Linked DNA regions of Macaca mulatta. The protein of the gene in region 2 interacts with the protein of the main gene of each other region in a biochemical or structural test. Links are inferred from orthologs where the notes say so. Each region holds a gene or a part of one and is shown on either strand. Other genes may lie near its edges. The genes, in order: HOXA5 and FOXA2.

Evidence for each region.
Region 1: the proteins of FOXA2 (region 2) and HOXA5 form a complex in vitro, tested with the Homo sapiens proteins (2 studies listed by BioGRID). The link is inferred for Macaca mulatta from reciprocal best matches to the Homo sapiens genes FOXA2 and HOXA5.

Annotation. Positions count from the first base shown.
Region 1 is NC_133408.1:101,202,464-101,206,701, reverse strand, and holds the start of HOXA5 (homeobox protein Hox-A5), read right to left. Parts: upstream 2,986-4,238; 5' UTR 1,288-2,985; coding exon 393-1,287; intron 1-392. Other genes in the region: HOXA6 (homeobox protein Hox-A6), read right to left, coding at 2,986-3,245. UniProt on the Homo sapiens protein: Sequence-specific transcription factor which is part of a developmental regulatory system that provides cells with specific positional identities on the anterior-posterior axis. Also binds to its own promoter.
Region 2 is NC_133415.1:61,460,949-61,465,280, reverse strand, and holds the start of FOXA2 (hepatocyte nuclear factor 3-beta), read right to left. Parts: upstream 2,835-4,332; 5' UTR 2,371-2,834; coding exon 2,284-2,370; intron 1,462-2,283; exon of another isoform or gene 1,252-1,461; intron 1,246-1,251; coding exon 1-1,245. UniProt on the Homo sapiens protein: Transcription factor that is involved in embryonic development, establishment of tissue-specific gene expression and regulation of gene expression in differentiated tissues.

The DNA.
Region 1 (4,238 bases), on a different chromosome or scaffold from region 2:
AGCGTAGCCCTCCTCATAAATTATCCGCCCTGACAAGCCCGATTCACGGCTCCTACTGCCATCCTCTACCTCTCTGCGTCTTGCTCAGCTGGCCTGACCCGGGAGCGCGTTCCAAGGCGTGGGGTTCCAGAGGGGTTTTTTGCTTCCTGCCCCTTTCAACGTCTAAACTGGCCCAGCGAACGCCTATTTCCCCCACTATTTGTGAGCGCGGGGTGCTTGCAAAGAAGAGGAGGAAGGAGGAAGGCAGAGGAGGGAGAACGGCAAGGAGAGGCTCCGCAGGGCTGGGAGAAATGAGACCAGGAGAGAGACTGGGAGAGGGCGGCAGAGGAGAGAGGGGGGACCGAGAGCCGCGTCCCCGCGGTCGCGTGGATTTAGAAAAAGGCTGGCTTTACCATGACTTATGTGCAGCTTGCGCATCCAGGGGTAGATCTGGGGTTGGGCGGGCGGCGCCGGGCTCGGCTCGCTCTGCGCACTCGCCTGCTCGCTGCTGGCAGGGGCGTCCTCCTCGGCTCCGGACGCCGTGCCAACCCCCTCTCTGCTGCTGATGTGGGTGCTGCCGGCGTTGGCCGAGGCGCCGCTGGAGTTGCTCAGGGAGTTTTTCCCGCCGTGGTGGCTGTCGCTGCCGGGCGAGGGGGCCACGGCGGAGCAGGGCAGCGGGTCGGGCGGAGGCGAGTGCGTGGACGTGGCCGGCTGGCTGTACCTGGGCTCGGCGGGCGCCGCGCTGGCGCTGGCCGCGTAGCTGCGGGCGCGCTCTCCGGAGCCAAAGTGGCCGGAGCCCGAGCGGCCGACGCTGAGATCCATGCCATTGTAGCCGTAGCCGTACCTGCCGGAGTGCATGCTCGCCGAGTCCCTGAATTGCTCGCTCACGGAACTATGATCTCCATAATTATGCAACTGGTAGTCCGGGCCATTTGGATAGCGACCGCAAAATGAGTTTACAAAATAAGAGCTCATTTGTTTTTTGATATGTGTGCTTGATTTGTGGCTCGCGGTCGTTTGTGCGTCTATAGCACCCTTGCACAATTTATGATGAATTATGGAAATGACTGGGACATGTACTTGGTTCCCTCCTACGTAGGCACCCAAATATGGGGTACGACTTCGAATCACGTGCTTTTGTTGTCCAGTCGTAAATCCTGCCTGATGACCTCTAGAGGTAAACTCGTGCACTAATGGGGGAGTTGGGTGGAGGCGAGAGGGGTGGCGCGCGCGCCTCGGGCGCGTGCCCGCCGCCAGTTGCTGCGGTTCAGTCGGACTCGAGCGCCACCCGCTGGAGGCAGGGCGCATCGCCCAGTTTCCGACCGGGGGCTGCAAGGGCCGGGGTCGAATTGAGGTTACAGCCCATTATGGCAAAATTATTGCATTTCCCTCGCAGTTCCATTAGGATGTACCAATTGTTAGGCCGTCAGCTGCCGATCGCGCGCCCGGCGAGGATGCAGAGGATTGGGGGAAGGTGGTGACTTGCATTTTATTTACAACAACTTTATTTCCCCCGTTTTGCAGCCCCTCTTATTTTTGTGTCGAGGTTGGGGTCGGTTCTGCCCGTCCTGCCAGCAGCTCTGAATTTTGAAAATACAGATATCACCTTCGGGGAAGGGGGAAAGCCATTTAGCCAACTGGATAAATAAATCCTGCCCGCAGCAGCAGCAGCTACAATTACGGCTCTGTTTTTGCGAGCGCATGAGGGACAGTGTCCCTGCCGCTCTTAAATGACAGGCGTCTATTAAAGATAGCTTTTGTGTAGTGTTTCTGCAAGGCGAGGTCAAATTCCATACACTTTTATAACCGTAGTCGATTTTTCTTTCGTGTGAATATGGTTTTCGTGTCATTAGTTTGCTATTTGATTTGCTTACGTATCCAGCCTGGAAAATCTTCATCACAGGGTCCGGTTCCTCGAGCCAGCCGGACCCCCAGTTGGAGGGTTCTCCTTGAACCCAGCGAGTGGGCCCAGGCTCCCTGCAGCCACAGAGGCTGCTTGGGGTCTGGGGATCCGTGGGGCCGGTTACTGGGGTCTTGCTTAGACCTCCAGGAGTAAAATGAGGGCGATAATGGAAGCATATCGTGGCAGTGCGTAGTATCTCTGTAGTTAATTTCCACGGCTCCGAAAGACTCAAGTAAATCACAAATATAGCTGAGAGGCAAGTGGAGTCTCCCCGCTGGAGGCCCCGCGTTGCAGGCGCCCCTGGCACGTCTGGAAGCCAGGACTCTGGCGGCTTCCATGGCCCTGGGCCCCTCGTTGGGTCCTGAACGCTGCTGTGGCGGCGACGCGGGCGCTATCGGAGGCAGGGAGCGGGAATCCGGAGCCGGGGGCCTGAGGGATCCCAGGGGCTCCCCGGGCTGTAATGTTCCACCCGCGCCCAGGTTAGGTTGCCTCGGCTGAGGCTGCTTCTTTTCCACTGACGGTTGCACACGCGGGACCGAGAGACTGGGCTCTGTTGGGGCCCCCTTTGTTCCTTGAGCTTCCTGTTCTGGGAGGCCGCTTGGGAGGCCGCGACAAGGCCGGGCTCCAGCACTTAGAACCCCTCTTTCAACTGGTCAGAGATAATTTGATGATGCCCTTCGGGACCTACTGGCGAGGGACCTAGGCACAGACTCCCAGACGCGAAACGGGGCTCGGCCCAGGGCTCTTTCCTCCCTAGCAGCTCGGCGTTCCGAGGTCGGGGAGCTCAGAGGCACTAGCACAGCAGCCCCGGACGCTTTCAGGGCGCACCCCAGAACTCGGGAGCCGGTTTGGGCAGCCTTGTGGAGCGGGACTGGGTGTGTGCAATGCGCCCCGCTCCACCGCTGGTATTGGCTGTGTGTGAGGTTTTGTTTTGTTTTGTTTTTTAAGAAATAAATGCACAGACGCTTGCAAAGCTCCCGGCTCCCCTGAAGTTGCGGAAGCCCCCGATGGGAGCAGGCGGGGAGAAAAGTTGGGGAGCAGGCGAGGGCAAGGGGGCAAAGCCGAAGGAGGTTGCAGCGCTGGCCTGGTCCCTGCCCAGGCGTCTACTCGTCCGCCTTTGCCTCTGAGTCCTCCCCGCTGGGCTGCGTGGAATTGATGAGCTTGTTTTCCTTTTTCCACTTCATGCGGCGGTTCTGGAACCAGATCTTGATCTGGCGCTCAGTGAGGCAGAGCGCGTTGGCGATCTCGATGCGGCGGCGCCGTGTCAGGTAGCGGTTGAAGTGGAACTCCTTCTCCAGCTCCAGTGTCTGGTAGCGCGTGTAGGTCTGGCGGCCTCGGCGCCCATGGCTCCCGTACACAGCACCTGCGAGCAGAAACAGCCGGGCGCCGGTAAGCCAGGACCTGGATGGTTGACCCAGTCAGCCCAGTGCCTCCCACAAGGGGCATACGAACTGAAAACCACCCCGCCTCCACTCCAGCCTCTCCCACTATGTCTGGGGCCCAAAGCATACTGAATGGGAGATTATTTCATACCAAGCGAGATGTTTTCCACCTATAACGACTTGGGGTGGACATTATTGTTTTTGAAAAATCTGCCTCATAGGAAAATCATTACAATCAAAATAACAGAATGGGCATTCTTAATTTGGGACGGCCAGGTCGTGTTTTTGTGGGGATGCAGGGTGTGTGTGTGGGGCGGGGGGGAGGTGTGGAACCATGTAAGTAGTGTACACACTCTGAATTCATAGTGGTCTCTCTGAGGATGCTACTGTGACCAGCCATGTCAGAACTCAACACATTTTTTGAAGAGTTAAAAATGGTCAGCCCTCTTGAATCTTTACACATTCTCCCATATTATATGACCCTTCTGAGAAACGCAGAACTCACCCAAGGATAAAGTGGATTTTAACGCAAAACATTATAATTTTAACAATCCGCATTAGGCTCTGTCCTAGGGAATTCCTAGGAGTCTTTGGGATTCCCTGTGGAGTCTTTGGAAACCAGAGGCTAAGAGATGGAGCTATAGTTAGTCTAGGATTTCTAGCAATGTAGGATTGTGTTGGGCTGTCTGATCTGTGCCAAAGATCCCCAAGGGTGGTGGGGATCCCTCCAAGACAGGTGTATGAACTCAGGCATGGGCTCAGAAGAAGGCAGAAGTTGGCTAAGAGTGAGCAGTTGAGTGGAAGGGGGAGGAGGTGAGGGAAGAGAGAGAAAAAAAAATCCTGAGTCTGGGGCTGTGGCCCTCCAAGGCTTTGGGGAGACACTAGAAGAGGCCAAATGGCCACCTCTCTCTGTACGGGTTTCTGAAGGGCAGAAAGGAGAGGGGGTTGGGAAGCAAAGGGTATTTATCAGTGAC
Region 2 (4,332 bases):
CAGGGGCGAAGCGTCCAGGCCCGTTTTGTTCGTGACCGGGCCCATGGCCAAGCTGCCAGGCATGGGGGAACCGTAGCCGGGGTAGTGCATCACCTGTTCGTAGGCCTTGAGGTCCATTTTGTGGGGTTGGTGGTGGTGGTGGCTGTGGTGGTGCTGCTGCTCCGAGGACATGAGGTTGTTGATGGAGAACGGGTGGTTGAAGGCGTAGTGGTGCTCCGGCTTCAGGTGGGCCTCAGGTGGCAGGCCTGGGTGGTGGGGCGGGCCCAGCAGGTGGGCCGCGGCCTGCTGCTGCTGCCCGGGAGAGGGCGCCGGCTCTGGGGGGCTCAGTGCTGCAGCAGGCGTCCCCTTCATCTCTCCCAGGCCCCCTCGCTTGTGCTCCTGGCACGGGGAGGCGCTCGAGTGAGGCGACTCGGTGCCAGCCGGAGTCTCGGAGGCCGGCCCGGCGGCCTCCCCGAGTTGAGCCTGCGAGGCCTGGGCCCCGGCGGCCGCCTTCTTGCCGCTGCCCGCGGCACCTGCGGCCTCCTTCAGCGCCAGCTGCTTCTCGCACTTGAAGCGCTTCTGGCGGCGCAGGTAGCAGCCGTTCTCGAACATGTTGCCCGAGTCAGGGTGCAGGGTCCAGAAGGAGCCCTTGCCGGGCTTGTCCGGAGAGCGGGGCACCTTCAGGAAGCAGTCGTTGAAGGAGAGCGAGTGGCGAATGGAGTTCTGCCAGCGCTGCTGGTTCTGCCGGTAGAAGGGGAAGAGGTCCATGATCCACTGGTAGATCTCGCTCAGTGTCAGCATCTTGTTGGGGCTCTGCTGGATGGCCATGGTGATGAGCGAGATGTACGAGTAGGGAGGCTTTGCGTGCGTGTAGCTGCGCCGGTAGGTCTTGGGGTCGCGCGCGCGGCTCAGGCCCGCCTGCCCGTACATGGGGCTCATGGAGTTCATGTTGGCGTAGGGGGCCAGGCCGCCCATGGCCCCGGCCGCCTGCCCCCCGAGCGGGCTCAGGCTGGGACTCAAGTGCGGCCCCATGCCCGCCACGCCGGCCGCCCCGGCCGAGGCGCCCATGCCCGCCATGGCGCCCGCGCCGGGGGACATGCCCGCCAGGGACGGGCTCATGCCTGTGCCGACGTACGACGACATGTTCATGGAGCCCGCGCTCATGTTGCCCGAGCCGCTGCCCATGGCGGCCGCCGACATGCTCATGTACGTGTTCATGCCGTTCATCCCCAGGCCGGCGTTCATGTTGCTCACGGAGGAGTAGCCCTGCGGACAGAGCCCCGGGAGGGAGGCGACAGCGTTAGCACCGCGGCTCGAGGGTGCCCAGATCTCCCACCCACCGCCCAGGCCTCCGCCTCCGAGGAGGCCTCCGGGGAGCCCTTTCCTCCCTTGTGGCCCAGTTTCCGGACTCCTTGTCTGTTTCATCCAGGGAGAGCCATGATCGATCACCCTTGGGAAGGAGGAGAGAGGATTGCTGCTTGGGTATGTGGCCCGTTCCTAGCCCTTCTCCACCTCGCCCAGATTCTAGAACAGGGGTCCCATGGAGTATTCCCAAACCAGAACCCCAAATGTATTTCCCTGCCCCAGAGTCTCCCCAAACTCTCCTACCAGCATACTGAGCTGGCGCCGAGGCCCGAAGTCCCCGGACGCCACCTTCGGTCGCAGCAAACAACCTGCGGGACACCTCGCGGGGCGCCTCAGGCTGCCTCCAGTGAAGACTGTCCCTGATCCCCTCTGTCCGGTCTCCCTCCCGGGACCCCCTCCCTTGTTCCAGGGAATCCGAAAGGCAGCGCCTGTGCGGAGTGCGGGGGCTGCCGGAGGCACTGAATGGGGCAATAGGGAAGGAACCGAGACCTAAACTACACGCGGCTGAGCTTTGCAGGCACAAACTTTCTTTCTCTTTGTCCACTAGTCTTTGACTCTGCCTCCACTTCAGCCCCCAACTCCTACCCATCTTCTCCTCCTCAGCTCCCCACCCCCTCGCCGGTCGACCTCCCACCCCTCCCCAGCCGCGCGCTGCCAAACATAACTCTGTTAGGATAGTGCGTGGCTCGGCCACGAAGAGGATTTGGAGGCGCCGCAAGTCAATATTTGATCACAAAGTTAATATTATCTCAAGGCTAACAGTGTGTCGTATAAAAAAGAGACCCATTTGATTCCAAGGAGGGCGGAAAAGGCGGCTGCCCAGAAAGGCTGGGGTTGTGGGGCGGGGGTGGGGGGGTGTCAGCGAGGGAAGCGGTCCTGAGGTTGGGGAAGGAGCGAGCGCCGCCGCTCCACTTCCCCCTGGAAAAGACGAGCGCTTACCTCGGGCTCGGCATAGTAGCTGCTCCAGTCGGACGGCTCGTGCCCTTCCATCTTCACCGCTCCCAGCATACTGGAAGCCGAGTGCATGGCAGTTTAAAATTTAACAGCCACAACAAACGACCAGTAATCACCCCCCACCCCCACCCTCTTTTAAAAAAAGTCAGCCAAGGCACCGTCCCCTCCTCCCTCCCTCTCTCGCTCTCCCTCTCCCTGGGCTCCACTCCCTCTCTCTCCCAGGGCCGGCCGGAGGCGGTAGTTGGAAGTGGGCGGGAGTGGGGGGGGGGCGAGGAGCGGAGGAGGCCCCGGCCAGCGCCCCGCGGCAGGGAGCGCCCGCCGCCGCCGCCGCGCTCACGGGCTGCCGGGTGGCGGCTGAGGTTGGCAGTGCAGAGCTGCCCCGAGGCGGCGGGAAGCGCGCGGCGCGGGGGCTGGTTGGGGGGGGTGGGGTGGGGAGGAGGAGGAGGAGGAAGGAGGAGGAGGAGGTGGTGGTGGTGGTGTAGGAGGAGGAGGAGGAGGAGGAGGAGGTGTGGACCGCGGAGCCGACAAGTGCCGCAGTGACGTGGGCGGCTGGTGATATAGCGCGGCGCGCTGGCGCGGGCCTCCAATCCCCAGACCCGGGGCAGCCCATTTGAATAATCAGCTCACACCTAGGTGAGAGGGAGCCGCAGCCGGCGCTCCGCACCTGCCCCTCAGCGCCTGCCGCCCGCCCCACCGCCGCGGTGCCCCGCACTCCTGGGCGGGCCAGGGGAGCGGGCCGGGCGGGCGATCGGGCACACGGGATCCCTGGTCGAGCCCCCTTTCCTCCCGGGTCTACGGCGAGTCCCCTGAGGAAGGAGGGACCTGGGAGGAGACCACCCTCGGGGGCGGCTCTGGCCTCAGGCCCCCGCCGGGTTCCATCGCGCCTTGGCGCCCGGTGCGCCTGTCGGAGCGCGAGTCCGGCCTCAGTGCCCCGCAGATCCCTATGAAAGCCGGATTTATTTATGCCGGGTTTCTTCGCTCTCAGTGCTCATTCTCTGTCAAAACAGCAAGCCCATGACAGCCAATTTGCAAAGTGCTGTCCTATTTAGAAAAACTGTGTACACACCTTTAACTCGCCCACCGCTGCTCCTGCGAGGCCCCTCCTTGTTAGAGTTCAGACCCGGAACGGCCTCGGGAGACGCGCCGGGCGCACGGTCCGGCCGCCTGGGCTCTCGGCCTCCTCAGAGCCCGGCAGCCAGCGACCCGCAGTGGGGCGGCCGGCGCCTGGTGCAAGCAGCCCCTCCAGCAGCGGCCGACGGTTGGGAGGCTGAGATAGGTCTCTGATATTCAGGCCGGCGTGTTTCAAGGTTACTTTTCAGTCACAACCGAGGTGCCCACAGCATTTCGTAACTAAAACAAACAGGGCAGGAGGTGGGGAGGGAGGGGTAAGGAGGGAAGAATCCAGGAATCAATGATGGGGCATATGGAGTTGACTTCAAGAGGGTCCTGTCCTCTCTGTCTTCCAGACGGACTGCTTTATAAAAATTGGAAACTCCAGAAATCGTATACTTTTATTTCCCCTGCAGCTCTTGGGTTCAAAAATTGTCTTCTGTTCTGGGTTAGCCTGTGAGCCCAGATTTGAAGTGGGGGGATATTGCAGGTGTTTGGATGTGGAGGTTCTTTCTTGGTTCTGAAAAACTGGCTGGGCCTTGGGGATCCAGCCCTGTACCCACACCCTCAGACACAGAGAACGCATAGGAAATAGTGGGCATCCAGCCCACCTGTCCAAAATTGGGGGCGATGGTGGCAGAAGACAGACGAGATGGCAGACACGGAGCTTCGCATTGAAGCTTGAGTAAGGGTGAGGCTGGAAGGCAAGAGAGCAGGGAGCAGTAGGCACAGGGGAACCACCTCCCCAACCCGAGGACTCTCAGGTCCGCAGGGTTTGGGCCACAGGAGGAAGCCGCCAGCAGCACCCTTTGCTGCTGAAATGCAGATAGTTTGGACAATTCATAATGAGGACATTAATAAGCCCGCTGAGCCAGGATTCTCCCCCAAATTCAAGGTCTGCATCTCCGCGGAAGCCGTGCCCAT